Drosophila melanogaster: one gene and its partner. The protein of the gene in region 2 purifies or fractionates together with the protein of the main gene of each other region. This does not show direct contact. Each region holds a gene or a part of one and is shown on either strand. Other genes may lie near its edges. The genes, in order: HIP-R and mtd.

Region 1 (5,228 bases), on a different chromosome or scaffold from region 2:
TGCGCCCTCCTGCCACTCATCCACATTCACATCCACCACCCCGGACACCCAGTCATGCACATAAGCGGTACGTCTGCAGTCGATGGAAAGAGGAGCCGTACCTGTGATGGCGCAGGTACAATAAAATAATGCAGACACTTCACTGTATTATATTTGACATATTCGTTGATATATGTTTCAACCATATCACCTGCTTATAAATATATATTTATAATTTATATATAAATATGAAAAATATCAAAGCAAAGAAAGCTGTCATAGCTTCTAAATAATCAGTCGTGTACGCTGTACCAAGCTGAGTTTAAAAAGCAATCAAGTACCTCTAGGTACAACCACCCAGGTCTTGGCATCGCTGAGCCCAGGTCATGTGCCGCTGGTTCTGCTTGGTCGCTCGATTTGGCCATAATCGAACATGTGCGCCAAGCTGTCCGTTAGCCAATTTCGCGCTGACATGGGGCGGGGTGCGGTAGATAGGTTCTGGATCCAGGGTGCAGGGTGCAGCCATTGAAGCGTCTAATCGACGCTTTCATACACCATGCGTACCCAATGTCCTTCATACAAAGTGAGCAACCCACACAGGTGATGCGCCGGATAGTTTAAGGGACTACGGCTCCATCTGTCCAACCCGCTCGAAAAAAAAGCAAAAGTATCTCCCCTTTTACCCGTTTACCAAAAAATATGGACATTAGCAATTCGGGTTCTTGTTGATTCGTTTATTTATTTCCATTGATCACTGGTTGAATGAGTGTGTGAATGAGTGTGTGAATGAATGGGCGATTGCTTTCATGTTGGGGGGCTAAATGCATTTGCTTACAATATGATTTAAATCCTACTCAGTACAATTTTGTTTGACCAAATGATGCGATTAGTTTTATCCGTTTCTTCGTTCTCGGTAATTTAGGCTAATATTATTGAACATATATATATTTTTTATTTTCTTTTGGTTGTTTCTCGAGCTTTAGTTCAACTAGATCGATCGGCACCCTTGAATCTGACTTGACGTCTAAACATTTATGTTTTGTTCGTCACAGGACAATCTTTTGATTTACCTGTGAACTGCAAATGTGATAAGTTTTTAAGCATATTCTAGCTCCTTTGTATAGTTTCATTTGCCACTTTAATGGCCGCAAGTATGCTTTTCAATAATATGTGAAGAAGCGTCTCCAGCATCTCCAACATCTCTTTCTTCTCGATTTAAATAAATGTTGCTTATTCTTCTGACTGCTTGTAGTATTTTGAATATTTGAATTTTCTCCATTGTCGCCCGTTCTTTTACGTGTTGGTTAAGTTAAAGCTTAGGAAATGTTTGTTTTTTCTCAGCTGCAAAAATGTGTAAGGCAGCCGCTTTCCCTTTTGTTTTTCGTGTAGTCCATCTTCTTCACCGCACTCTGTTGCTTTCTCTTTCTTTGTTGTTTTGTAATCTCGCTCGATTTCGTGTAATTGGTTGTTAACTTCTTTTTATCGACGCATGTTTCAGTCTTACTACTGCCCCATTTCTAAACCTTAGTCCAAACCGTCATCGACGAAGTCGGCGGAGTCCTTTTTAGGCTTAGGCTCGCTCGGCTTTCCAGCCTTTTCACCCGCTTGGCCAAAGGCAGCACCCACATCTCCACCGGGCACAATCTTCTTGATAAGGTTGTATATCTTCGGGTTCGACGCGTACTTTGTGATGTTACCCGGATTTGACAAAATGTCCTACGAAAGTTAATAAATAACAACGATATGATTACTGCATTTGTATTAGAAATAGAAAAGTAGTATTCACGAACCTGAATGGCGGCTGACACCTCGGGATCTGACATGGCGCCCAGTATATCAGACATATTTCCGTTACCAGGATTCCCACCGGAAAATTCTCCAGATGATCCACCAGAGCTGGCATTGTGCTTTTCCTGCTCCTTACGTGCGCGCCTCTGATCCCGCTGGCGTTCCTTGATCTTACGCTCTGCCTGGCGACGCTCCTGCTTCAAGCGATGCTGCTCGATTTTCTTGGCATTCGGAGTGACCTCCTTTAGCCACTCGTCTGTCTCCTCGTCAAAGTCCAGCTTGCATGCTTGGCGCAAATCATGGGCAGCCAGCTCAAAATCTCCGAGGAGGCGACGGGCGCGTCCCCTGAACTTGTAGCCAGCCGCCAAATCCGAGTTGAGTTCCAGCGCCACGTCGCAGTCCCGAATGCAGGCATTCGGCTTCTTCAGCTTGAGGAAGGCCTGACCACGCTTAGCGTGGAAAAGGGCATTACCCGGGCTCAGTTCAATGGCCTTGGTGTACAAGGCGATGGCCTCGTCGAACTTCTGCTGGCCGTAAGCGGAGGCCGCCTGGGCGCGCAGCTCGCTCGCCTGCTCCACCTCCTCTTCGGTGGCCTTCTTGCTGTAGTTGCCCATGGGTTGGGCGGGGTCGCTGTCCGCCTCGATCACACCTGAAGGCGTCGGAAGTAATACGGATAGAAGATACATAGTTTTAATTGGCGTATTACATATATTAATACTGCAGGATTCGAATTTGGGTAAACGCTAAGTTTGCAGTGTCGAAAGGATATAAGATAAAGCAACTGCCAGCACTGCGACAGCAACGCATCAAAGTCCAGGGTTGTGACCCCCAATGACCACGTGACTCGGCAAAATTTGCACACTCACCCTCCATGTCCAGCTCCACGTCCGACTCAGGATCGGAGAGGGACTTTTCGTCCTCGCTATCCTCGGGGGCATTGGCCGGCTCGTTGGCCTTGGCACCAGCAACACCGCCGAATGGGCACTTGCTGGAAGAACAAGCCGCGGGATGAGCAAATCATACAATCGTGTTGTTTTGAAAATTGGTCAAATAGTTCGGTTAACTTACCCTCCGGCGCTGCCACCGTTGAATTGGCCAGGCGGCACCGTGCCACCAAACTTCTCCACGAAATCTTTGACGAACTGCAGCTGCGGCATGTTCAAGAAGGTGGGATTCTCAAGCGCAAAGTCGATGAAGTACTTCAGCTTCTTCAGATCCCCGGTTTGCATTGTGAAAGCCATTTCTGAATTCCGTTTTGTCTCGATGTTTTCAGATCTGATATATTAATATATTAATATTATTAATAAGCAATATTTGCTTAGCTTTACGTCCACTTTTGCTCTGCCCTATCGATTGGTATGCATAAATACCATGAAAAAGTACTGAGAATTAATCGACGGTATTTATCGCTTCGCTCTTGTATTTTTCAGTATTTTGTGCGTACGATAGTGCTGGAAAATGTGACAACTTTTAAAAAGATAACAGCCATTTTCCGCCACATACCCCAAAACTAAATACATATATATTCACATAGGATCGAGAATGTAATGAGCCACAATTAAGTCCATAACTATTGCTGAAGAAGTTTATGTCTGCCCCCATTGACATTAAAACAGTTTTCTGTTAATCATTTTAGTATTTTTTTATTTTCAATGTTTCGTCATGTTTTTTGTTTGCTTTTGTCTTTTGTTTTCTTGATGTTTTTTTTTTAGCTTTTTTCATTTTGTTTTGGAATTAATTTATTAATTAATTTTTATGTTTACTTATTGATTTAGTATCTTCTTCGCGCTTATCTCTGTCGTCGCCGCCTATTTCGTGTTTGCATTGTTTTTTTTTCGGCTTTCTTCGCCTTTTCTTGTGTTTGGTGTGTGTCTGGTTGAAGGGGTTAAGGGTCAGAAAATGGTGAAAACTGGTGGTGATGTTCGGGTATCGGAAGGGAGTGGGTGGTGTCGATGGCCTATTCTGAGTGCCCTTCTCTCCGTGCTCGCACGCATACAAATATTTTTCATATCCGTTCACTTTAAATAATTTTTTAGCATAACTATTAAATAATTTGTTTATATATAATACATACATATATGTATATATGCACACATATATGTATATTCAGTTTGTTTTTCGTAATTCGTTCAATTTAAACTTTTTAATTATTATCGTAATTATTTTTTAATAAAATACTCAACAAATAATTTAATGGGCTTTGTTTTTCTCGTCTGCTCAACTGTCTCATCGTTTTTTTCTGCTGCTGTTTTTATTTTTATTTTCGTTTTTTTTTCTTTTTAAGTATTTATATTTTGATTCGTTTAGTACTATTTAAACACTTAGTAGGTATTAATTTGTTTAGCTTTATACGCTTGCGTGTGTGTTCTTGAGTGTGACAACTTTCTCTATGAAAAACTCAATAAAATCGAAGAATTAAAGACAAATAAATTAAAACATCTCGTGGTTTTTTTTATCAAACATTTCGCTTGTTTATTTTGTTTCTCTTTTTGTTGTTTCTGTTTCTTGGTTGTTGTTGGTTTCGCTGTGGATCAAACCGAAACCGTTAAGTGATAATAAAAAATAATGATAATGGTAATCAAAATAATAATAATAGTTTCCTTTTAAATATGTATAATTTATAATTTAAAGATGTGCATTTTACATAATTATATAATAGATAGATTCGCTCTCATTCTCTATGCATCTCCTTTCATTATCTTCACATTCCTTGCTTTCCTTTATCTTTTATCAAATTAAATTAACACACACTCGCATCCAATCGTTATCGACAATCGATGACATCACATCGATATACACACACATTTAGATATCGACCATTATGGGCTAATTCTAACGGTTACATTAAACGGAAAAAAAAATCGGAATCATTATCCTCATATCATTATTCTTTATAGAGATGCAAAAAAAAAATTTAATCTTACAAACTGATTGGCTAAAATTAAAGGAAAGTACGTACATATACAAATTTGCATACAAATCTGAAATGGTTCTTCTGGTTTTTTATGTTTTTTTGCTGGTTTTCTTCATTAATTTAAACTTTAATTAGGCATAAATTATTTATATAAATATTTACAATGCTCTTTGCTATTTTTAGGGAGTTCTTGCCGCTGCTTTATTACTCTTGTTCTGCTTGCCGTCCTTATCTGCGTCCATTTTTGTTTCTTTCTATCGCGATATTTTCCATTTTTTATACTTATACTCTAAAAACTAATTTCGGGTTACTTTTCATTCATTTTGTTTTGCGTAGACTTAAGAAAAAAATGTTTTTCGCTTTTGGATGAATCTTGCATCTTTCACTCCCCGCTCATACTCTTCTGTTCCTCTTCTGATCTTTCTCTTTAAGGTTTTTTTTGTCTGGCTGTAGGCAGATTTCATATCGGTTTTACATACATATAGATCTATATATTATTGAAACATTTAGCTTGGTAGTTCATGTTTTTTTTTTGCAGGTTTTATAT
Region 2 (4,992 bases):
CCGACAGGTATGTATACATATGTACATACCTATAAATACATATCTAGAGACTTATATTTATTTGTGTAATTATGACACTGTTTTCACGCCAACTTGAGCAAACAAACAGCAGTAAGGCTCTTTGTCCGGGCCAAGTAGAATTCGACGAAGTCAGGCACAGTGGGCAGGGGCAAACAAAAGACCATAAATAAATCACATGCGGAGACAACACGGCGAAAAGCAGCTCATAAAAGTACTCATGCTTGTATACTTAATTATTGAACAGGCAGATTTAAATATTCTGTCCTGCGACAAGCCTCCTTTTGGCAGCCATAATCATTGTGCAATAATGACACAACAGCTAAGTGACTCAGAGACTTCCTCGTTCAAATCGCGTGGACGTGTCACTTAAAATCAATAAAAGTTAAAACCAGATGCGGCTATGCGTAGATACAAAATGGGAATTTGCATTTCCGTGTTGGTTTTTAAAATTATTATTTCCAATTTACCCCCCTTGCTGCTCGTTTTAATTTTCCCACTTCCATTTCTCCCCATCGCTTCCTGACACTTTCAATTGATTTGCATAGTCAGTCAGTCGCACTTTTAGGTGGGCCACCCCACCTTTATTTTAGATAGTACTGACTTCTAAATACATATGTAGGTATATAATTTTGTACTCGCTGTGTACCACTATCTATAAGTCGGGCGACATCACGTGGCCCCAAAATTATGCACACCCAGCGGACATCGTGATAAATGGCTTTGTCAATAAATATTATACGAACGCTTTGTGCCGACTTGCGTCGAAATAGAAGCTGAAATGTTAATCCGCATTAATTATGCTATCAAGTGTTGATGGAGCGTATCACAACTTATAGATAGAAATGCATTACACGTTCTGGCCCAAAACCTCACCAGATATATTCTTGCACGCCCAGTTTTAGTGTACATGTGTCAGTGGTTGGGCTTAACATTTATTCTAATTATACCTTGTTTTTGCCTGCTCATTTTACGCATTTTTTGAGCTATTTATAAAAAACATAAACAAGCGCACGAGAGAGAAGACCAAAGCCATCGATTATCTCGAGTGGGGCTGCCTTCCACTTTTCCACTTTTCTCGTCGGAAAACCAAAGCATCCGCAACAGTCGCCTTTCAGTCTGCCGGATTTTCGAAACTGGTTTGGATCTACATAGATAGGTTGGGAGTTTGGAAACTTCTTTAGGTATCAATAATTATTAATAATAATTACTTATTTAAGCTTTTATCTTCTTGTAAGTATGTATGTATGGTAAGTATACGAAATTTAAGATATATAAAATGGATACAATGGTTAAATACTGGAAACCTGGTTTAACTACAGTACTATCATCACTGTTTTCTAGGGGCTTTCTTTCCATTTTGCTGTTCAAACCGAGAAGGCAAATGAGCTGAGCTTTTGGGAGGGGGAGCAGCAACTGTTACTGTTTTATTTGGGATGTACGAACACGAACGCGAGTGCATTGGTGTACGTGCAATCATGGCTTTTTGTGCCGTTGCCCGATAATTCTCCACGCAAATGGCATGGAAGGGCCATAGACAAAATCAGAAAATCCGAAGAAAAAATCAGAGACGCCGGCGACTTTAGTTTTTTTTTTCGTAGCCATAAGCAGTAAATGCTGCTTCTTCCTCGGCTTATTGCCAGTGTTGTTGTTTTACTGTGCTGATGACCTTAAATTAGGCGTAGGTCTTTGCTTTTGTGTTCGCCGTATTCGTCATTGTTGGCCAAGTTTTTTTTTCATTGGTTTCTTTTGACGTGGTCAGCTGTTTTTTATATTTTTTCTTTGCTGCTTCCAGTCGTCGTAAGCAATAATAGGCACTAACAAAAAGATATTTCACGAATGTCATGACCTGCAGCTGAGGAATATAATAAACTAAGTTGCTTCTATTTCGCAGCTGGAAAGGCAAGCCAAATAAGCGACGAACAAAGAAAAAGCCAAAAGAATCTGCGAATAATGCCGATTAGAACGGTTTACTAAGCCAAGCGACTAAAATAAAACCGTTCGCTTCACCAAGAATCCGAAAAAACCGCAAGCCGCGCCTAAAGCAATCGCAAAACAGAATGGCGAAGGAGAGAAGCAGAGAGACGAAATTAAAGCCAAGCTGGGCCAAAAATTAAATTGCAAGCGCAGCCATTAATTACGATTATTTTGCATCCATTACCATTTGCATCACAAATGGTTGCAAATATTTCTATACCTTTTTTTAATTTGTTGTCTTTCAACGAGGTTTGGCACAATTGCTTTCCTTTGATTGGTTAGTCACATTTCTCATTCGTATTGATTTCACAGTATTGGCACTCGCGTACACTTATATTTTCAATTATACTTGTATATTCTGTGGACATTTGTGGTTGAATTAGTATAATTATAATTACTTTTATGCACTCGGAATTTTTGGGAGTCCGAGACTCAGCGAAAATTTGGTCAATTGTGAGAATGCCCCGCGTAATTTACTTTAAATTAAATGCCTTGAAACATGTATGCTTTCGATTAATTGCTTGCTTGCAAGGGACTTTTTGAACTCAAATGACCTTAATGTTAAACTCAATTTTGACAGGGCGTTAAATTTAAGCCATTTAAAACAAAAGTGGGGGGCAATGTTATTTACAGTTGCATTAATATTTTTTGCAGAAAAATCTCGCTCTCACTTAAAAAACTCTCGTGTATATGCTGTTATAGCGAATTCCCGAGCACGGATGTTAAATTAAACAACTTAATATATTTCTTTCGCCAGGAAAACGGACACCAATGGCCGAATTGCAACGGACAATCGCCAAATGAAATGAGTGCAGAAAAATAATTTGCGGACTGCGTTGGTCGGCGTCGCACAAACAGTCGCACACGAGTCGAACATATTTTTAAAAATAATTTTACAATATTTATCGCCGATGCTCCACATACATATGTATGTAGTATATCTGTGCTATATCTTAGTATCAAGCACTGACTTTGAGCGCGCGCGTTCTGTTATTTGTGTTCCGTTTTCGTTTCGGCTGATTCCGATTTTGTGGGAGCTACTTGCGTTGCGTTCGGTGCAAATGGAAAACTTAAACTGATCGAATCGATCCACAAAAAAGTTGTCTGCTTACCGATGTTTAGACACATGTTGCCAGCGAGAGCACATGTTGCGGGGCAACATGCACGATACTCTAACTTTATGAAGCGAACAGAGTACATTTGTATAAATGTTACAAGCAATATGTCCATATGTCGTGTCTCGCGGGGCAGCCACATCCACATACACATACACATCCACATGTGCTGCAACAAACTCGTTTTTGTTTTTGTTGCAGGCCAAAAACCTAAACCTGCTTGAGTTTGGCTTATTTCCGTTTATTTCCACTTCCACTTGGCGATGTTTGGACACATGTTGCCAGCGAAACGTACGACTGCCGATTGATTTTAATACACTTTCCAGGAGTGTTGACACCATGGCAGAGGATCTTGAAAGATACTCTAACTTTATCACAGTTGAACAGTAGATAGACAGAGTAGATAAGTTACAAGTAATAAAATGTAACTAATTAAAATCGTTCAAATGGGTTCAGTTCGATTATTTAGTATTTGTAGCAGTGCTAGATACCATCTATATCATCATCTAATCCGAAAAGGGTATCAAAGTTTCGGTACGTTTCCCATTCGATTTGTTGCTTCTAATGCTGGGGCGCATGTGCAATGAACTTGTTTTGAATTGCAATTGCTATTATTTTTTGGAGGTTAGTCAGCTGCGGCGACTTTGTAATTTCATTTAAATTACTCATACGCCATGTGACGCCGCTGTAATTATTTGATTTCGCTCCCAGCTCCTCGGCGGCAAATGCATTTCCTCAACTTTAATGTAGGTCACTGTTGAGGGGGTGAAAGTGGTACAATTATCTGGCCAACCCCCTGCCACCTGTGTTTTTCACCTGACAAGGAAATTACCGCCAAGGCCGCAGCAATTGCCCAGAGAATTTGCCCTAAGGTGAACTGCATTTCAACGCGGAGAAACAGAAAAAATAGAATTTACAATCCGACCTTGGGCATTTCTTCCATTTAGCTTGCAACCTCTGACTTTTTCCTCTTTCTTTGCCTCATTTAAGACGCATGACTGGGCTCGAATTGCGAATTATGCAAATTTCAAAGTACGCAACTCGTCGAAATCAGAAAAAGTGCAACATCATTTAGCTGCCGCTCGTTCTCCGTCCCGTTCGCACCCTCCATCTTCACCCCCCCCCCCCCTCTGACTATTTACAGTTTTTCGGACTCGGACGATTACAATTTTCAGCCTTCAATATTATTACACAATCATAAATTGTCTGAACTAAAATGTAAATGTTTTGAATGCGCCTTGGGGGCCACTAAAAAACGCAATCGCATGTATTGCCAGCGCTATGACTAAATCTATGACTATGGTTATGCACATGGCTATACCTATGGCTAACGCTATGGCTATAAGCATAGCTTATCAGGGTCTCTAATCAAACCAGTCGCAGGTGAGGTAGGAATCATACAACACCACCTTCGCAAAGTGTAGAAGCAATTTCTAAGTTTTTGAATAATTCTAGTGGGTGAAGTTTAAGATATTTCGAAGTAAAGTATGAGGTAACCAATGTTACCAATCGGAGGTTTATCAACCTGTTTAAAGAATCTTGACTTTAAACAGCCAACTCATTGCTTTCAACACGAACTCAGCTCCGAATGTTAATTGGCTCTATGGCCATAAAGAATTGACAGTGTAGTGTTTTGGTTTTGCTATTGGCAAAAGTAAAGACAAACCTGTAATTAGCCATTGGTGCTATTGAACTAGAATAAGCCAACTAACGCCACTCCAACTTTATTTTGAAAAAATGTTGTGTTTGTGAAAACTCACCTTTTATATTTCTTCTCGTCCTGCAAACAACTATCTTATTTATACCCTTGATTAGCATTCAGGGGGGTTGAGTTTTCTCCGGGTGATTTCCATAAAAAGAAACTCTCTTTTGGCTGTTGAAC

Evidence for each region.
Region 1: the proteins of mtd (region 2) and HIP-R purify together in Drosophila melanogaster (affinity purification with mass spectrometry, with the first as the bait; one large-scale study listed by BioGRID). This does not show direct contact.

Annotation. Positions count from the first base shown.
Region 1 is NC_004354.4:3,787,944-3,793,171, reverse strand, and holds HIP-R (Hsc/Hsp70-interacting protein related), read right to left. Parts: upstream 3,204-5,228; 5' UTR 3,096-3,203; exon of another isoform or gene 3,043-3,095; 5' UTR 3,009-3,042; coding exon 2,836-3,008; intron 2,756-2,835; coding exon 2,634-2,755; intron 2,417-2,633; coding exon 1,770-2,416; intron 1,696-1,769; coding exon 1,504-1,695; 3' UTR 695-1,503; downstream 1-694. UniProt on the Drosophila melanogaster protein: One HIP oligomer binds the ATPase domains of at least two Hsc70 molecules dependent on activation of the Hsc70 ATPase by Hsp40. Stabilizes the ADP state of Hsc70 that has a high affinity for substrate protein.
Region 2 is NT_033777.3:5,320,773-5,325,764, forward strand, and holds the start of mtd (mustard), read right to left. Parts: upstream 3,076-4,992; 5' UTR 2,667-3,075; intron 2,354-2,666; 5' UTR 2,216-2,353; intron 1-2,215.